Drosophila melanogaster: one gene and its partner. The protein of the gene in region 2 purifies or fractionates together with the protein of the main gene of each other region. This does not show direct contact. Each region holds a gene or a part of one and is shown on either strand. Other genes may lie near its edges.

Region 1 (5,511 bases), about 12 Mb from region 2:
ATCTATTCCATATGCTATTGGACTTCAGGAACACTTTCACATTTATTGGGCGTACCCTAAATAACTAGCACACATGATGGGCTGGGTCGAATCCATATCATTGATTCCATTGATTGGTGACCCATGCCAGCTGATGTAACGGTCACTTGGTGGATCAGCTGCTCCTAAGCCAACATTTGCACTAAACTGTCCTTGCTCTCGTGCCAAGAATTGGCACAGCTGCCGACTCCATTCTCCCGGCTGCATCCCCCGCCACTTCTTCGAGCCACGAGAACAATGGACTTGGCCCGGACAATGGTCGGCGCTAAGAAATAGTGACTTTTCAGGGGCGCACGGGTTTTCCTCTGGCTTCTAGCGGGCCCTAATTGCTGGCAAGCATCTTACATAATATTGAAGAAGATGCGTCTCCGAATGGATTTCGTATGGAGTGTGCCTGATGCGAAACAGCTGCTCAAGATCTCAAAACTATGAACACGAGGAAGGGTTGCGGGGAGATTAGGTGGGATTTGTTCGCTGTAAAGATTTGCGGTTGCAGTTGCGGTGGCACATTTCAAGACCTAACATCTGTCGTAAAAAACATCTAGTTTCGAAGCCCCCAGCCAAAAATGAAATGTATTTAGCATTGATGAATACGATAATAGAAAATCAACTTTTTAGTGCTATAAAAAAGTAGTGCTATAAAAAAGTACGAAAGTACATACGCGTATGTTTTTAATCGTTAAAGATGCACCCAAAAAAGCAATATAAAATTAGTTTAAGGAAGCTAAAGTAAATATACATATAAATAGACTTAATGAATAAAATCGACTTTCTCCTTATATTTTGGGTTAATCAAATGGTTTCGGATGGTCATAAATGTTAAATGTATTAATAAAGCTTAAAATAAAGTTTGATAAAGAATGAAAAAGAATTCATTAAATAACTTTTTAGAACAAAAAATATGTATTGAGATCATAAAATGCAATCGACAATCAAATTAGTAAGAATAACAAGAAACAAGGGGATCTCTAGCCACAAAATTCCACAGAACTTCCCTCGATTTACCTTTTCCCTTGACGACAACAACTGTAAATCCTCCAATAAGTACAGTCATCCCCTAGGGTAAAAATCGAGCCACCGCGAGTCATATCAATTCATAAATGCATATTAATTCCGATAGAGGCTAAAATTAAAACAGGAGTCGCTTTGGAATAATGTGAGAAAAAAACTTTCTCACGATCACCTTGTTGTCGCGCAGACGGCGTTTGGTGGAAATCCACGTGCAAAAGGGGGAAGTTCGGAAGCAAGGAAGGCTGGATGGTAGGAAGGAAGGAAACCACCACCACCAAGCAGGCGGAGTAGGACGCAGGACCCTCTTAATGGTGGTGGTTAGTACCTCCCTCTCCCCCTCCCCCTCTACCAGTGACGATCGCCAGAAGTGCATGAGAATTTAAATTACAAACAAACCGAAACGCAGAGCGCACAATCAACGGGCTTTGTCCGTGTGCGTGTATGCATCGGCATGCGATGACGCGTAGAGGGTGGGGTAGAGAGGGTGCCAGGACGAGGCGTGTGTGGGAACTTTCGACGAGGACACTCGAGCATGAAGCGGGTCAAACGACAGAGGCCAGTTATTATCCAGCTCCTTTTTATGGCACTTCTCACACGCCCACAAGGGGCGTTAGTTAGCTCACTAACCTCTTTCCAAACAGAGTCGAATGGAATTATAGCAAGTGTGAGAGAGAAGCGAAAGTCGAGTTCTCAGCGTCACAATAACAACACCCACGCGACAGAAGCATCTTTAGTTCTCAGCGAGAGAGATAAGCTCAGCTTCCTCTTCTTCTTTCTCTGCTCCTTCTGCTGCTCTCACGGGCATGCGCAACATTGCAACAAAAATTAAAGGGAACCCGTAACCACAAAAGTCATGGGCGTAGTGAACAATTTTATTTAAAAACCCGTTATGGTGTACCATAGAAATTAATTCCCTATAAAAATGGACAAACATAAACTGAAAATGTTTTAAAATAAATATAGTTCGATATGTAGTCAAAAAACCCCTCAGTAATCCACCCCTGCTTAAGGCAAAAGTCAAAGTCATCTAGACGGATAATTTCTTCCTGTGCATCAGCGGGCGATTGTAATGCGATCCGTGGCCACTCCAGTGCAGTCATTCAGGCCAGAAATCTGGAATCCCAAGTGCTGGGACACATGAATGCGTTTCATTGCCTATTTTTAAACATAACATTCCATTTCAAGTGATAAGGCCACCAGAAAATAGTTCTCTTTGCCCGTTTGCATGTGCATTGCTGCGGCAGTATGGGTGCGTGTATCTCTGTGTGTATGTGTCGCATTACTCATGCGCTCTCACTCCAAGCGTCGTTTGGTATATTCGCGGCTCTCGTCCGGTATTTTCCAGGGTCACACTGCGCCTGAGCTGGGGCGTTGTTGTTGCCTGCGAGAGCGGAGCAGAAGTATTTATCGCGTTGCAGCGCACGGTCCTACTGACACAGAAAATGCAAGAAAAGTAAGAGCGTAAAAGAGCTGGCGTAGGCGTGACAAAAGCGGTGAAAAAGCAACGGTTCTGTGCAAGCAAAGTGAATAAATACAGTGAAGCCCACCTGCGAACGAATATCGAAGGCTCAAAGGCGAATTTGGCGCTATTCCAATGAATAGTCCTCGCTCGAACGCGGTTAATGGCGGCAGCGGCGGCGCCATCTCCGCTCTGCCCAGCACTCTGGCCCAACTGGCTCTGCGCGACAAGCAGCAGGCTGCGTCGGCATCGGCGTCCTCTGCCACGAACGGCAGCAGCGGCAGCGAGTCCTTGGTGGGCGTCGGTGGACGACCGCCCAATCAGCCGCCCAGTGTGCCAGTGGCCGCCAGTGGCAAGCTGGACACCAGCGGCGGAGGCGCCTCCAACGGCGACTCGAACAAACTGACCCACGATCTGCAGGAGAAGGAGCACCAGCAGGCGCAGAAGCCACAGAAGCCACCGCTCCCGGTGCGCCAGAAGCCCATGGAGATCGCCGGCTATGTGGGCTTCGCCAACCTGCCCAATCAGGTCTATCGCAAGGCCGTCAAGCGGGGATTCGAGTTCACTCTGATGGTGGTGGGCGCCAGTGGGCTGGGCAAGTCGACGCTGATCAACTCCATGTTCCTGTCGGACATCTACAACGCGGAACAGTATCCGGGCCCCTCGCTGCGCAAAAAGAAGACCGTGGCCGTGGAGGCCACCAAAGTAATGCTCAAGGAGAACGGCGTCAATCTGACACTCACGGTGGTGGACACACCCGGATTCGGTGATGCCGTTGACAACAGCAACTGCTGGGTGCCCATACTGGAGTACGTGGATAGCAAGTACGAGGAGTACCTGACAGCCGAGTCGCGGGTGTACCGAAAAACCATTTCGGACAGCCGGGTGCACTGCTGCCTCTACTTCATAGCGCCATCGGGACACGGACTCCTGCCGCTGGACATTGCCTGCATGCAGAGCCTGTCGGACAAGGTAAATCTGGTGCCGGTGATCGCCAAGGCGGACACCATGACGCCCGACGAGGTGCATCTATTTAAGAAGCAGATCCTTAACGAGATCGCCCAGCACAAGATCAAGATCTACGACTTCCCCGCCACGCTGGAGGATGCGGCCGAGGAGGCCAAAACCACGCAGAATTTGCGCAGCCGAGTGCCATTCGCGGTGGTGGGTGCCAACACCATCATCGAGCAGGACGGAAAGAAGGTCCGGGGTAGGCGTTATCCCTGGGGCCTGGTGGAGGTGGAGAACCTGACGCATTGCGACTTTATAGCGCTGCGCAACATGGTCATACGCACGCACCTTCAGGACCTCAAGGACGTGACGAACAACGTCCACTACGAGAACTACCGCTGCCGGAAGCTATCCGAGCTGGGATTGGTGGACGGCAAGGCCAGGCTGTCCAACAAGAACCCACTCACCCAGATGGAGGAGGAAAAGCGGGAGCACGAGCAGAAGATGAAGAAGATGGAGGCCGAGATGGAGCAGGTGTTTGACATGAAGGTCAAGGAGAAGATGCAGAAGCTCAGGGACTCGGAGCTGGAGCTGGCGCGGCGCCACGAGGAGCGCAAGAAGGCGCTGGAGCTGCAGATCCGGGAGCTGGAGGAGAAGAGACGCGAGTTCGAGCGCGAGAAGAAGGAGTGGGAGGATGTCAACCACGTGACGCTCGAGGAGCTCAAGCGACGCAGCCTGGGGGCCAACAGCAGCACGGACAATGTGGATGGCAAGAAGGAGAAGAAAAAGAAGGGTCTGTTCTAAGTCAACACGCTCAAAACCCCCATTCCCCAAACCCCCTTCCGCTCCTCGTATACTTAAGCGCTAATCTCGAGAACAAAGCAAATGAAAACCCTAGCGTATCCTACTCTTATTCCTACCACATAAAGTAATTCGAAAAGTGCATAAATATATCTATTGTTGGGCCCAGCCGCCCCACAAGGCTTCTATTCGCACAGCAATCGTCCAGCGACGGCGTTGCATTTGTTTTCTACATACTATACAAGTACATATAACACATAGCAGTTGCAGTATTTTACCAATATATATCCACGCATTACTTGACGAAACACATTTGCTAGCCTAATGAATTGAACACGCAAACGAATTAAATCGAGACAGTAACAAACGGTATTTGCAAAATACTTAAGTATCTTAAAGCCTAATCATAATAAAAACTAAGCAGAATGTACGAGTGCGAGGCGAAATTGATCCTAAAATTAATTATAACGAATAACGAATCCATGTATAACGTATGCTATTGATATTGTAATTGTATTTTACCTATTATGCATAAAGTCATTGAACACCCGAACACACACCAGCAAGGCAAAAGCCGCAAGCGCAGCAGAAAACATCAAGAAACAAAATATACTCTTGCATTTTATAAAATAAAGTCTTCTCCTTAGTTTAACTACATAAAAGCTGAAAAGCATTCCATATTAAATTCGTTGTTTACTCAACTGCAGCGGAACGGGTCCGCTTGGCACACGTCTGGGTATGATAGGCATGACGATGGATATGGCGATTTGGATATGACGATTACATTCTCAATATCTTAGTTAACCATGAGCTAATGGATGAGTCATTCCGCAGGAGCATTGACTGGGAACGTGGCTCGAGTCAAGCGGATAGGTAAATCACTCGCCGCAAACAATTAAAAGTGTTTACCTCTCACACTGCTATGTATGTATGTATGTATGTGTGATGCTTATTGGACCAGTGAAAACTAACGCGAACCGTTGGTGCCACCTAAAAGTATCATGCTTTTCGTTTCCTAAGAAATACCCTTTATGCAGTTCTTGCCCATATGTGCGACTCAAGCAATTACGAAAAGCCTGACACTCCCTATAAGTCAGTACATGTACATATACAATCTTTCGCCTTATGCGGCCACAATTTAGGTCAGAATAATAGATATTCATCGCAGTTGGTAGCAATGAGCTTTATTTTGCAAAAATCAAGATAATATCAGATAAGATAAGCTGACTTGCGTGATGTACATATGTATG
Region 2 (4,866 bases):
TGCGCAGGCGTTTGTCATGATGCGAGCCAAAACTTTCATTTATTTTGGCTATGGGCAGATTATTAATGAATCTTAATTAACTGGACACGGTGGACAAGAGTTTTGGCGTTTCTCAGCGGCAAAGGGTTAAATCCGTTTCGCCTTGCCATTGACCTCGCTTGGGAAGTCGAGCTTGAGATTGCTCCAAACGTGCCACAATTGAACTTGAGTTGCTGCATTCGTCGTACAACTGGCTCGTGCAACTTGCAACTGCCGCCTGGCAGCGGCACAAAAGTTGCATTTTCCATTTGATTAATTGACGCGATTGTTACTGGCAGGTTTCCTTTCGGTTTTTGTCTAGCTACAACAATTAAATTGAAGTGGAAAAGCAGACTGTGTGAAGGTAAGTGTGTGCGAGCAAGTGCATGTTACTTTAATTGAAATCATTGTTGTTGCGGCGTCTGTTGCTCTGACCAAAATTAAAACAAATGCGGCTCAGTTGCGCAGACAAAGCCAAAAGCCGCAGTCGAACTCAAAGTCATCGTTTTGCTTTCTTTTCAAGTTTAATGAACGTTGAGTCCGGGCGATGAATGGTGGGTGGTTGGGGATCGGTTGGGGAATGGGTGGTGGCAAGGCCTTATGATTAGCGCCAGTTGCGGCATCGAAGGTTGCTGATCTGTGGATTGCATGCCACATTGCAGCTGCAGCACTAATGGAAAATGGTAAGAAATTGAAATGGAAAAGGGGAAAACGCCAATGCAAATGCGGCGAAGGCCGCCAAGACATTTTGTAACACCAAATTATTTTGATTGGCTGTGAATAAAAATTTATTCCGCTTTTGAGGTCTGCCTTTTGATCGACCACATCGAATGTGAGGCAACAAATTGATGTGTGAATCAAGACGAGCGGGAGATTTGTGCCCTTAAAGACCATAAGCTCCATCGATGACTAACCTGTCCACAATCTCGTCTAGCTCTTTGGCCATAGCCCCCGCATCGATTCGAATATCAATCAACAACGCCCACATCGAGAGCGACAAAAATGGCAGTTTGATCTGTTGATGCGATCATAATCGGTGTGATTGAATGGTCCAATTACGCTTAGCGGCTGACATAATTAGCGTGTAATTATAATTGTAATGGACATGAATACGTGGATAGCCGCGAAGACCCTGCAAATTGGATGGGGCGGCTTTGACAAAACGCCTCGTGCGACTTACATCACCTATCACAATATCGTTCCATCATCCCATCATGCCACCATGGCCACTTGGGTGTGACTAAGAAGCTATGGACTGCAGGTAACCCGAGATGCCGCATATAATTTCGCACACATGCCTGTGCTCCGTGCCAGCTTTGGGTTTCTTTTCCACCTCAATGCGGATGAAATGCCATGCGAATGGAATATAAACATACAAAATAAAATGACAAACGCGAGAAGCAGTCACAAAAACGAAAGTTGCTCTGCGCGGGCAATTGTTTGCAATCGAGACATTTAAATAAATTGATAAGCACTCGGAAGCATTTGCATCGGGCGAACAAGTTCGTTGCCTAAGTCTTTCGTTTCGATGTGGTATCTCTGCTGTTGTTTTTGTCGTTTCCCTTATCGCTGGCATTGCTTAACGAAACGCTAACAATGACAATTAAATAAATACCAATAATAACAGTAAACTGCTGCAGCAGCAACACAAGTATAATGAACTTGAATTGGCATAATTGCCACCGCTAATCACATTAAAGCCAGATACAAAGATTTGATAAATGCAAAGAAACAACAGCCAAGCAGCAAACAACAAGACAAAAAGCAACTGGTTATTCCGCCTGGCAGTGAAACAATCATAGGAATTAAAATAAGATGCAAATGATTGCGTCACTGCAGAGTAGCGATATGAGGGGAGAAATATAAACTTAAAATGTGACAATGGCACTAATGTGAATAACTAACAAGTCGAACAGGGCAATGATTCCCCTTTTTAGATTATGGAAATAAAGGCAGATAATTTCAATGTGATGAACTTAAATAATTGTTAAATTAATAAACATTATAAAATTCAAACTGTTTTCCCATTTCGCTTTACTTTTAGGCGAACTATTTAAAGTATACAAAAGTACTTGTCAAAAACGTTTAACTGTTCTTGAAAAGTGTGAGAATTGGTTGGGCAAATTTGAAAAAATCAAGGTACTTGCTTTGCTGTGCCAATTTCAAAGTCGCTAATTGAATGGAACAATGAATTGCTTTTAGAAATCGCCCATTTCGCTGGCAATAAATTAGAAGCACAAACACCGAAAATAATTTATGAGCAAGCCACAATAATTGGAAGCCACATACGAAACCCGTGTAGTTAAAAGGGATGGAGGGCGGGTGCAACCAGCGCCCATGACAGGTGGTGTCGCCTCAACCACCCACCCCGTCTATTTGCGTTTGTATTGGTTTATGTGTGTGTTTATGCCGTGACGCAGGCCCAGCTTCGACTTCAAACGTCAGCCTGCAATCTTTCACTTTTTTTTCGTGTCTGCAGCCGCGGCGTCGGTTGTTCCAGTTTTTCCGTAGATTATTTCCCCAGCATCGCTATTATTTTTGTTATTTTCGCCTAGATTATACACACGCGATACATGGAGTGCTTATTCTAGGCCCTTTTTGACACACTTCTTTGCCGTTTATGTGTATTTCTATTACTTTTACGCATATATGCTAAACAACTTTCTTCTTCTGGTTGCAAAGGGGCGCGCTTTGTGCAAAAGTATTTATCATAAATTTTACACACACGCAGGCGCACACCGACACACAAACACACACACACAGAGCGATAGCCCCAGCGAGATCCAAGCACACATATTGCATACACACACACAGGCATAGAAAAAGGGGAGAGCAGATTGTTCAGTTCGCAAGGTCCATGAATCCGGAATTCCAATTCTGCGCTTTATCACATTTTCGGCATTATTTGTTGTGCCTCCAAAAGTCTCTTCTCCGAACAGCAGGTTTCGAATATTGGGAATGTAACAAAATTTCATTACCAAACACAACCACTCATACACAATCAGCACAGCACGACGACACACACGGACGCGTTCACTCACACTAGCACAGGTTTCGAGCCGCTTTTCTTTTCGATCCGTTTCTTTTCCGTTCGGCTCGAGCGCGATCACGATCGATTTGAGACTAGTTGCTTTGCTATTCGCGGAATGGAATCCGCTCTGAGTCGAGCTTTGTTGGGGGTAAAGCTTTTACATAGCTCCAAAAAGCTCGCTTCGCAAAGGCAACTGCGCGTGCCCACCACTACTATCGATAGCCGTCCACGGATCAGCCTAGGAGTTCCAGTAATCGTTAAAAATATTTTACTCTGGTCCCCGTTGGAAAATCTATAATTTCATTTGTTTTTTTTTATAAAGCCCTCGGCTACACTTCCTTGCTATAACTATCATTTCAGCTTAGCATTTTTAATAGTTTTAATTTATATAAATATTTATATAGAAAGGTTTTACAATTTTTTGTTCGTAATCTGCTGCGATAGATCGATAGGTGTTCAACGTTTGAACTTGAACATCGTGGTATTTTCAGGCTCTTCACCTGCGGTCTCACTGGCTGCAACAATTATCGAAGAAACGATAGGTTGAAATTAATAACAAAAGAGTGCAAAAGGGAAAACGCAAAAAGTTATGGGGAACCAATTGGCTATACAGATGAATAGCGATGAAGACGACGATTTTGATTCTTCGGACAACGAGCTGGGCTTCAACGTGATCAACTTTACGGTGAACGCCATGGATCTGCGCTCCGATTATTGCAGCAGCGAGATGCCAGTTATACGAGGCAAGCCCGATCTAGTTAAATTTCAGGTAATGACGAAATACCCCGTCCCCAGATAACAATTAATAGTAATTTATTGCCCACGCAATCTTCCAGAAAACTGATATGTACAAGGAGATCCAGGCGTCGAGTGGATTAGTGAGCAATCCGAACAATCGCTGGAACCTGGTGCACGCCCTTCAGCAGCGTGAGAATGGGTTGGCATCGCCGCACAGCGCATCGTTCTCCAAGAACCAGCAGCGCTACATATCCAATCTTTACATACCAAACAAAAAGGCCACACGCCTGATGTCGCTGGAATCCAAAATATTTGTGACCAAGTTCAATCGTTCGGGCAGCAAGTTGCTGACCGCTTGTCAAGGTCAGCATTCATGATTAACGCTTCCGATTGGCATTAAAACACGATTTTGACCCCTTCCAGATGGCTTTGTGCGCATTTACGATGGCGCCAAGGGCACTTATCACCTGCTGAATCGCATCCGAGCCCGCGATGTTGAGTGGAGCATCATCGATGCGGATTTTAGTCCGAATGGCGAGCACTTCGCCTACAGCACCTGGTCCCGCTCATGTAGGTACTCCGCCCAATCTGTTTATCCACACTAAGTTGTTTTCCCCTTCAGTGTTCATCATGCCCGTGAATGGGGGGGAAGACGACTGCCAGTGGATCGATGTCAATGGACTGCCAAGCCATAGGTTGGCCATCTTCTCGCTGCGCTATTCGCCAACAGGCGACAAAATCATCGGGGGCAGCAACAATTCCACGGTCATCGTGACCGACATTCGCACAAGAAACACACAGATCCTGCGCACCCACCGCATGCCCGGCAAGGATGTTAACTCGGTGTGCTTCCTACACGATAAGGATCCAAATGTGATAATCGCCGGCTGTGACGACGGCCTGCTAAAGGTCTACGACCTGCGCACCACCTTCCGTTCACGGGACCTGTCCAAGTCTGTGGCATCCTTCATCGGCCACTACGATGGCATCACCTACATCGATTCGCGCAACGACGGCTACCACGTGCTGTCCAACTCCAAAGACCAAAGCATCAAAATCTGGGACATAAGGCAGCCGAG

What was found.
Region 1: the proteins of Hil (region 2) and pnut purify together in Drosophila melanogaster (affinity purification with western blotting; one study listed by BioGRID). This does not show direct contact.

The regions. Positions count from the first base shown.
Region 1 is NT_033778.4:8,235,413-8,240,923, forward strand, and holds pnut (peanut), read left to right. Parts: upstream 1-1,858; 5' UTR 1,859-2,644; coding exon 2,645-4,264; 3' UTR 4,265-4,885; downstream 4,886-5,511. UniProt on the Drosophila melanogaster protein: Involved in cytokinesis and possibly cellularization. Also acts as an enhancer of the sina gene, thus having a role in photoreceptor development. May be involved in p53-dependent apoptosis.
Region 2 is NT_033778.4:20,615,071-20,619,936, forward strand, and holds the start of Hil (hillarin), read right to left. Parts: upstream 3,148-4,866; 5' UTR 2,997-3,147; intron 1-2,996. Other genes in the region: CG9945 (uncharacterized protein), read left to right, coding at 3,639-3,818, 3,886-4,150, 4,211-4,357, 4,410-4,866. UniProt on the Drosophila melanogaster protein: May act as a modulator of septin function during cytokinesis in the developing nervous system.